Drosophila melanogaster: one gene and its partner. Changing the gene in region 1 together with any one later gene gives a genetic interaction. Each region holds a gene or a part of one and is shown on either strand. Other genes may lie near its edges.

Region 1 (4,317 bases):
TTATCTCCACGTTGGTTTGGCTCTCGCCCTTCTTGTACTCCAGCGAGCAGTCAAGCAGCACGATGCGGGGATTCTCGATGAGGCGTCGCATCTTGGGATGCGTCACGTCTTTGTTGATCATCACGCCCTTAAGAACACACGACTCCTCGATGGCGCCACCCGGGATCTTCTCCACCTTGGCATAGCTGTGAAAGTAACAAAGTTAAAATTATTTATTCAAAAATAATATGCATAACAAATTTCGTTCTTACCGTTTAATGTCTACCTCCAGACGGCCGTTCTCACTTAGCGTCACTGTCTCGACTGCGTCCAGGGCAATCTTGACGGCAAGGTCGGACCACTTGCCAATGAACTTGGTGCCCACACAGGCCTTGACCACATCGGCCATCTTGGCCTTATCCTTGACGTCCAACTGGATGCTAAGCTGGGACTGCAGGTGGCCGACGATGTCCTCGAGGGCCTCGCGATAGGCGCGAATGATAACAGTGGGGTGGATCTGTTGCTGGAGGAAGGGCTCGGCGGCGGCCAGCATCTCGCCGGCCAGGACGATGACCGATGTGGTACCATCGCCAACCTCCTCGTCTTGTGTGCGAGCAATTTCAATCATGCTCTTGGCCGCCGGGTGCTGCACAGTGATCTCACGCAGGATGGCGTTGCCATCGTTGGTCATCACGATGCCGCCCATTGGGTCCATCAGCATCTTCAGCATGGCCTGTGGCCCCAGACATGTGCGTATCACATCGGCGATGGCCTGGAAAAAGACGTTTTAATCAACAGATGGTCGGAAAACGCGAGAACACAAAAACCCAAGACCCAGACATGTGAGTCACGCATACCTTTCCGGCTTGGATGTTCTCCAACTGCACTTTGCGGCCCGATTCTCTCTTTGTGTTTTGACCTGTCGGCGGGTAATTCGATTGCAATTGGGCTCTACGACGTGCAAATTTCATACTCACTCAACACGAGTATTGGCTGCTGTCCACCGAACATCTTTCTGGCTGTTTAATTTATTTCTGCGTGAAAACAATTGAACTCGTGCTGGCGCTGCCGCTGTTTGAAAGAGAATGAGTGAGGTTAGAACCGCCGATGACACATTATTCGAGAAGGTTCGATAGGATATTGAGCGGACCGGCTTGTTAGTTACTTCTGCCAGTTCCTTCTTCTAGTTTCTTTTCTTTCCTCACTTACTGCTAACTGACTTTTGCGATCGCTTATAAGTTTAATTCAAATTCTCCACAATTCGAAGCAGCAGCTCTCTTAAGAATCGATATCGAGAAACAGTATACTTACACTATGCAGCTTTTGTTATCGATGTCACAGAATTACATTCGTCATAACTGCGATTTTTTGAAGGCGCCTAACTTGGTTTTAAATTTTCCACCCTGAGGTTTAAGCGAAATCAAAACATTAAACTTGTAACAATAAATAATATTTTCTACGGTGTAAGTGATACTGGAAATTAATTTATATTACGAATGGATTTTAAATTTATGTTATATAGCATATTTCTATCACATCATAATTAAAATGTGGAAATTTTGAAGCCTAAAAAGCCTAACCAACTAAACTCAAAAGAAGTTAAAATATAATTTATGAAAATTGTATCACCTTCGAAAAAGAAAATGTTGGAGGATATTCTGAATATAACGGGGGAAAAGTGATTACTTGGAATGATGAGTTACATAAACAGCGTCGAACTTTTTAATATTTGAAGATCCTGTGCTGTATTCAATAAAACTGCTCAAAACGTATTAAATGGATTTCATGGTAGTTTTTATATATAAATGGAAAAACAAATAAGTTTTGCAAATACTTTAAAAGTGTAGTGTAAGCGTTTCATAAATTAAATAAATTATCGATATCGATAACAAACCGCGAGTCAGCTGTGGCCTGTTTGTTTACGATACATTTCGGCTTCAATTTGTTTTTAATAGTTATTAATTTTTTAACTAGACAACATGGAGGCCAAGAAGATATCTTTTGGCTTTAGTAAATTGTCCAAGAAACCAAACATTCTGCCCAGCAAGCAGCCGAAAGAGGAAAGCAAGGTGGAGTTGATAAAATGCTTGGAAGGAAACGAAATCATGCCAGTCGAGTAAGTTAAAATATCTTGAAATAGTTTTATACTCATATGTAATATTTAGCGAAAAGGTGGAAGCTGCTCCTCTTACCATCAAAATGATAGGCATGCAGAAGACTTCGTCCGCTTTGGCGAGTCTGATGAGGAGGCGGGCAGTTCTGCTGGGCGAGGAGGAACCGGATCCAGAGGAGGTGACTCCAGTGGCTCAGTCTATAGCAGAGGTCACCGCAGGCGGTCCAACGGAGAGTCTGGAACAGAGAGCAGCTCGGGAATTGATATCTGCCATCCAAAATAACGGTGCCGAAGGCCTAGATGACCAGAAACTTGTCCTGCCCGCCCTAAGCGCAGACGAACTGCCTCTCGATGGTGCCAAGGAGGCAACACTAGATGACTATGACAACATACCGATACAACAATTTGGCCTAGCCATGCTGCGCGGCATGGGCTGGGTTGATCCACCGCCAAAAAAGAAGGGCTCAGGACCCATCGATGATGCCCCCTTTCTGCGACCCAAAGGCATGGGCCTGGGAGCAGATAAGGCGCTCAAACCTAAAGCTCTACTGGTCCAGCCGGAGAAGAACGAGGTACTGGAGATTAAGAAGCAGGCGTACGTGCGCATTCTGGGCGGAAAGCAGAAGGATCAGTATGGCCAAATCCAAGGTTTTGATGACCATGCAGGGCGAGTAATTGTCAAAATGGCAATTGGAGGGGCCAAAGAGGCGTTCAACGAGTTCCTTTGTCAGCCCGTATCCCGCAAGGAGTACTCTCAGTATGGCAAGTGCATAAGTAAGTGGAGCCTGGAAAATGCAAATCCTTTATATTTGTGACATTTTTATATTTCTTTTACATTTACTTTCAGACACTGCCAAATACGAAGAATTCAAAAAAAATGAAAACGAGCATGGCCAGATTATTGTGAAGCAGGAAAATCCGTCAGGAAGAAGGGACAGAGACCGCAGGGAAGAAATTAGATCAGACCGGGATGAAGCTCAAAATCAAAAGAGTTCGAAGCCAGGGGACCAGAGATCTAGTAAAGAAGACTATCGCATGAAATGCAAGGAAGAAGATAAAAGGTCTTACAAATATGAAGACAAAAAAACGTACAAAGACGAACATCGCAGGACGTACAAAGACGAGCGAAAATCGTACAAGGAAGCCAAATCTAACAAAGAGGAGGTGGATCGAGAAAAGAAGTATGTGCGGAGTGGTAGCTCCTCTGTATCTAAACGCGAGGAACGTGAGCGTCGTCGTTCGCCGAGTCCCAGAGGCAGAAGCCCATCTAAGTCGAAGCGGGAAGACCGTGACCAAAAGCGTTCGCAAAGTCCCCGAAGCACCAGAAGAACAAAGAGTAGTTCAGACGAGGCAGACGATACGGGAGAGTCCACCGAGAGCGACTCCGACTCTGCATATGAACGCAGGAAGCACAAGAAGAAATCATCCAGCCACAAGTCAAGAAAACACTCAAAGAAGTCCAAGAACAAGTCGAGAAAGGCGGACAACGACTCCAGCTTAGAGAGCGATGACAGCCTCGGTGAAAACCATCGTCGTCACCACAGCAAGCACAAAAAGAAGACCAAGAGGAGCAAGCATGTCAGGTCCCGCACGCGATCAAGGTCAAGAGACCGTCAGTGATTGATCTATTTAGTTGAAATCTTTATTTAAATATAGTTCATTAGACGCTTAAGTTCCTTTTTTTATCTTACTTGGGATTATCATAAATTTCAATTAACTCACAAAATAATCACAAAAATGCCTTGTCTTTTGTTGCGCGTTTTTTTCTCTCTCCGTACGCCTCGTTTCGAGAATACTTCTGTCTTACATGTTACAAACTTATAGTAGGAGATGTGATGGGGCCAGAACCACGGATTTGCTAGTTTTCCGAGTTTTTTTTTTCTGTATGCGCTGCTCTTATCTTTTAAGATATTTATAGTTTCAAATTCAATGCGCCTAATGTGTGATTTAGTGATGCGATGTGTGCATAATGGCAAGTAGATGACTTAGGCATGTTTTATATTTTTGGTCAAATGGTGATGAGTTTATCTGGTTGCTTTCCTTTACTGCAGCTTCCTTTTGCCGCACTGGATCTTCTCGTTAATAATCTTCGAGGCCCTTTGGGTGATGGCCTTAAAAATGTCCTTGTTCTGTAGTCCTGGCCACATGAGGATGAGTAGGGTGGCCAAGTACATAAGCAGTAGATTGTTAATGATGGCTCCAATCCAGGCCATAGCCAAAAGACC
Region 2 (5,110 bases), 4.6 Mb from region 1:
ACTAAACGAGCTCCAGTTTGGTGGTGATAAACAATTGTCCCCGGTGATGCAACAAATATTTACTCCAACCATTTGGTAAACATAATTAGCATTTAATTAAAATAAAATTGCCCATCGATAGACAAGCAATTTGTGATTTGATTATCAAAATCAAATAAGACCGCCGCCACAAAGCCTTTTCGCTTGTGCAAATAGCCGTGCCGCTGCAGAGCCACATAAATATACATGTAGCCATTGGCAATCGGGAACAGGACCGGATCGTATCCGGATCGGCGATAAGGTCCTCCATCGCTGGAACCATCTGATAACTGCGAAATATGTACGTTAAGTGTGCAATTGATTGGATTATGACCCTTTGCTGTGCGTATGGCATTTTATGGGTCAGTGATAGACGGCAAATTGATTTTGTTTTGGTTTGGTTTCGTTAGCCTCTATTTTTGGATGCGCCATTGCCACCTGTTGCTCCGAATTAGTTTTGCTGCCGCTGCACTTTGAGCAGGTGGTGCAAATCGAATTTAAAATTGCATTCCGCGCGTGGGAGGTGTACAAATATCAAGGGAAGAGATACTCCGCATGTTCAACTGAGATGCAACGAGGGAAGGTACATTTATTCGTTACAAAATAAGTAGAAAATTGTAGATAGACATTGGGACTTGGGTAATAATATTTAATCATTTTTAATTAAAACTGAAAGTATTTTAGGGACAATAAACAAGTGCACTGCCTTCCATAAAGGCCTGCTTATTGACCATCAACTTTTTGCGCTGCCCTCGCCATTTTCGCCTTTTTGTCGCTCAGATTGCTTTGTTATTTGTCAACCATTTATTATTGTTCAAATAAAACGTATCCGCCGCCCATATGGATCGTCGAAACACAATTGATTTATACGATGTGCAAAAGGTTGACAGTCGTCCCTTTACTGTAAGGAAATTACTGAACTTTAACAACCTTCTAAAACATTTCAAGATTACAAATGGCGAGGGTAATGACTGAAAATGAATACAAAGAATACGTCTTTAGATAACTTTAATGTTAAGAGTCTAGTTCAATTTAAATTAAATTAAATAAAATATGATTTAAATTGGTGTGAAATTGATTTTAGTTATACATAGGACTATTTTACCCGTCTTACAAAAATAAACCAACCATTAATAAATTTTTACATAACATGCGTTATACATGTTTTTATTTGGAGGATTAATATTGTAATGAGTATTTAAGGCTAGGCGTAGTAACTAAACAATTACATAACTGGAATGACAAAATCTATAGAGCTGTGAGTAGTATATGAACAATTTTGATAGAGCTGCAAGAGCTGAGCTGAGTTGCATACGAGGCGGCCGCACGAGGTGCCACTAAAGCTTGGTTACCCTCAACAATCATATCTAGGCTAAACTATATCGATTCAATTCACATAAATTACCTAAGACGAGTGTGGCTAGAGAAACGGGTTTGGCAGGCGAATCGAGTGGGTTACTCGATCCGTATGACCCCGGCTCCGACACCACCACTGTGTGCGCACATGGGCGGCATAAAGGTCCATTTGTCGGTCTCCGGATCGTACACCTCGACTGTAGACAAATTTGACTCGCCATCATAGCCGCCGATGGCCCACAGTTTGCCCATGTTGGCGGCCAGAGCCACCCGCGAGCGTTTGCAATTCATTGGTGTCACCAGCTTCCAGGTGTCCGTCTGAGGGTCGTAGCACTCTACGGATCGAAGGAATGAGTTGCCGCAGTAGCCGCCGCACACGTATATCTTTCCGTTCAGCGTGGCCACGCCCAGTCTACAGCGACGATTCAGCATGGGCGACATCTTAACCCAGACATCTTCGGCCTGGTCGTACCGCTCCACCGAATCGAATATGGACAACCCATCATGACCGCCAAGGGCGTAGACGTAGCCGTTCAATTGGGTAACTCCACCAGCCGAACGATATTTCATCATTTGAGCAACCTTCGGGTAGTGAAATTAAAGTTGGATCAGTTTTCTTACCCATCTGGGTTACATAGAATGTTTGTTTACTTACAGTCTTCCAAGTGTTAGACTTTGGATAGTAAACTTCAACGGTGTTGAGCGACGTGACGCCGTCGTAGCCGCCGCACACATAGATACAATCATCCAATGCGGCCACGCCCACGGCGCTGCGTTTGCAGAGCATGGCACAGCCCTGGGACCACTTGTTTTTGCGCGGGTCGTAGACCTCAACGGTGGACAGACGTTCGGTGCCATTGAATCCACCAAAGGCGTACAGCTTGCCATTCAGAACGGCCACACCCACGCGAGATCTGTCGAAAAATTGGCAATTAGTATGGGATAGAATAGAAATAAATGCTCCTCGCACACTCACCTCATCATGGACATTTGTTCGCCCATTTTCCATTTTTTGGTGAGCGGATCGTAAATCTCGACCGTGCTCACAGATTCCCCAGTGCTGGCCAGTCCTCCCACGGCGTATATTTGTCCGGTAAAGAACTCACCGGATCTCTGGCGCGTGCGAAAGCTCTGCAGCAGACCCCTGCGCTCGGGCATGAGGTGAAAGTCCTTGGCCTCGTCTAGGAGATCACGGCATTGGTGCGAGGATCGAATGAGTTCCTCGCGGGCCACACGGTCCGCCAGGAACTGAGGCGAGAGCAATGGCAAACGCACTGCAGCCAGGACCTGAGGAAAGAGCTCAGAGCGCTTGTCTTCTGCGTACTTGACCCACTTCATGCAGGCCTCGAAGATGACCTCCTCGGTGCGTACGTTGAGTTCGTCCCGGCGCATCAGCTCCAGCAATTGTTCGCAGTCCAGGGCGAGAAACTCCTCCGACTGCGAGACTTTGGCAAAGTTTTGATCAATATACTTGTCGGCAGCGTCGATTAGCTGCCGGCAGATCATGGAGTCGGCGAAGGTGCGGATTCCCAGGACATTGTGCGGATGAAAGCGGGAGATCAGGAAACTGGCACAGGCATCCCGCACGTTGGACAATTGCAGGAAGCTGGCGCCCACCATCAGGTTCTGCACATTCTGGTTGTCGATGCGCACTTGGCCGCTGTAAACATAGTTGATCAGACTCTCCAGGGCACTTGGCTCTATGGCGCTCTCCTTCATGGTGATCTCCTTGATCCGACTCTCTGCCATGTTGTTGGTGAACATCGCATAGAAATACGGGATGGTGGCCGCCAGCACAACGCGGTGCGCTGAGAAGGTCTGATCTTCAACCTGCAATAATTGGGATGGCATTTTATATTTAGACGCTAGATAATGAACGTATCTCTGAGCTGCGGGTGATTGAATGCCCCAGTCTGCACGCAAACAACCTTTAGGGTGACATCGCACAGCTTGCCCATCCTGCGGATTTCCTTGAACAGGGGGAAACTCTCGCCGAATAGCTTATCATGCTTGTAAACAAAGTATTGATCCTCCACTTGGCTATTATCACTCAAATCCATCACTTTAACGGATCAAGAAAATGATAAACAGTAGAGATGCCAAATGTTGCTTGTACTGCAGAGCTAGTGGTGGTCAGTGGTGAGCGGTCACATTAATCGATAGTTGAGGTTCCTTCGATAGTTGAACAACACCAATAGTAGTGAAACAAATTTATTGAATCATATTGTTTAATTTTAAAGGTAACGTTCTTGGACCAAAATGTAATTTCATAATACTTATTAAAAAGTTGAGCCCTTTTTATGCAACAGTGATAATTAAATCCTTAAAAAGCACATATTTTTAAGACAATATTATTCTTTCATTTAATTTTAATTAGTAATTTTTCCGTTTTTGCGTCACCTTCTTAAAAAAAGACGCTCATCACTAATTGGGCGGTGATGACAGCCCTATCAGCTGTTAGTGTGGCTGGAGTGTTTTCTTCGCTCGGATTGATTAAGGGTCCAAAAACATTTTCGAGTAATCTGGGTCGCTTGCTAATTGGAAAACCACTGATCTGAGTTAAGACATAAATGTTTGGACCGCTATTAAATGCAAGGATACGAAAATAGCAAGTAACATGGAAGCCGCATCACCGAGGGAAACCCAGGTGAGTAAAAAGGTGTCGCTAGAATTGATGATGACGTCTCATCTTGTTATTTGCATTTGCAGAAGAACCCGAATCCGATCGAGGCGCTGAGCAAAGATGAAATCATCAGCAAATACAAAGGCCTGCTCAACATCGCTAAAAAGGCGAAACAGGCAAAAGATGGTAAGTTTGATGGAGAGTTTCAGGGAATCTTCCAGAATAATGCAAGCCACTCTCTTTCAGAACTCACCGAGGAAAATCACCGACTCAAGGATGCCCTTAAACGGGCGGCGGAGAAGCAGAGCAGCCTGCCAGCCATGCAGGAAATGGTCCAGGACTTCACCGATAAGAACCTCATCCTCACCGAGGAAGTGAATAATCTGAAACGAAAGACCAAAGAGGATGCCGATCGACTGACGCAATTCGAGATCGAGAACGAGAGCCTAAAGCGCCAACTTGGGCGACTGAGTGATGAAAACGATGCCCTCCTTGCCAATGTGGATCGCATGGAAAAGGCTATGCAACAGGTCAATGCTCTGGGTAACGAGCAGCGCAAGAATCTGGAACTTTTGGAAGTGGACATTGCCAAAATTAAGGAAGCGGAGGCGGAAAACGCTAGTCTTCGCCAGCAAGTCGCCACGATGGAAGAAGAGTCGAGTGTGCTGCAGCAAAAGTACCAAAACATCAAGGAACTTAACTCTGAGCAACGCAAGAAGTTTAATTCTCTAAAGGACCGCTTCATTGATGTACACCGCAAGTTGAAGAACCTCAAGGAGTGCAAGTGCGTGCTGCTGGAAACGCAGCACGAGTACGCCGCATCCGTTTCCAAATGGCAGGTGGAGATTATCAAAGCTTCGCAACTGTTGTGCGCAAAGATGGCATCCCTGCAGGCCGAGAATGAAAAACTGAAGCTGAACAATGGAAAGTCAGACAATAATCCTCAAACAATTGACACTGGAATTGACCGCAAGCGCTTGCTGCAAAGAGTTCAGGAAATGGATCGGCTAGCCAAAATAGTGAAGCAGAAGCAAAAGAACCAAAGGAGCAATTTGAATGTGGAGTACCTACTTAAGAAGATAACCGCTCTCGAAGAGCTTGCAGTCATTATAA

Evidence for each region. Genes that interact genetically often act in the same process or in processes that back each other up.
Region 2: of CG10324 (region 1) and KLHL18, changing one enhances a phenotype caused by changing the other (phenotypic enhancement), as found in Drosophila melanogaster (one study listed by BioGRID).

The regions. Positions count from the first base shown.
Region 1 is NT_033777.3:16,644,569-16,648,885, reverse strand, and holds CG10324 (uncharacterized protein), read left to right. Parts: upstream 1-1,881; 5' UTR 1,882-1,958; coding exon 1,959-2,095; intron 2,096-2,144; coding exon 2,145-2,866; intron 2,867-2,939; coding exon 2,940-3,712; 3' UTR 3,713-3,814; downstream 3,815-4,317. Other genes in the region: CCT3 (chaperonin containing TCP1 subunit 3), read right to left, coding at 1-185, 252-751, 837-898, 957-990; Arl6IP1 (ADP-ribosylation factor-like 6 interacting protein 1), read right to left, coding at 4,135-4,317.
Region 2 is NT_033777.3:12,006,940-12,012,049, forward strand, and holds KLHL18 (kelch like family member 18), read right to left. Parts: upstream 3,496-5,110; 5' UTR 3,435-3,495; coding exon 3,303-3,434; exon of another isoform or gene 3,226-3,302; coding exon of another isoform or gene 3,205-3,225; coding exon 2,351-3,204; intron 2,289-2,350; coding exon 2,030-2,288; intron 1,957-2,029; coding exon 1,474-1,956; 3' UTR 1,424-1,473; exon of another isoform or gene 1,162-1,423; intron 990-1,161; 3' UTR 537-989; downstream 1-536. Other genes in the region: GCC185 (GRIP and coiled-coil domain containing 185 kDa), read left to right, coding at 3,992-4,021, 4,084-4,183, 4,244-5,110.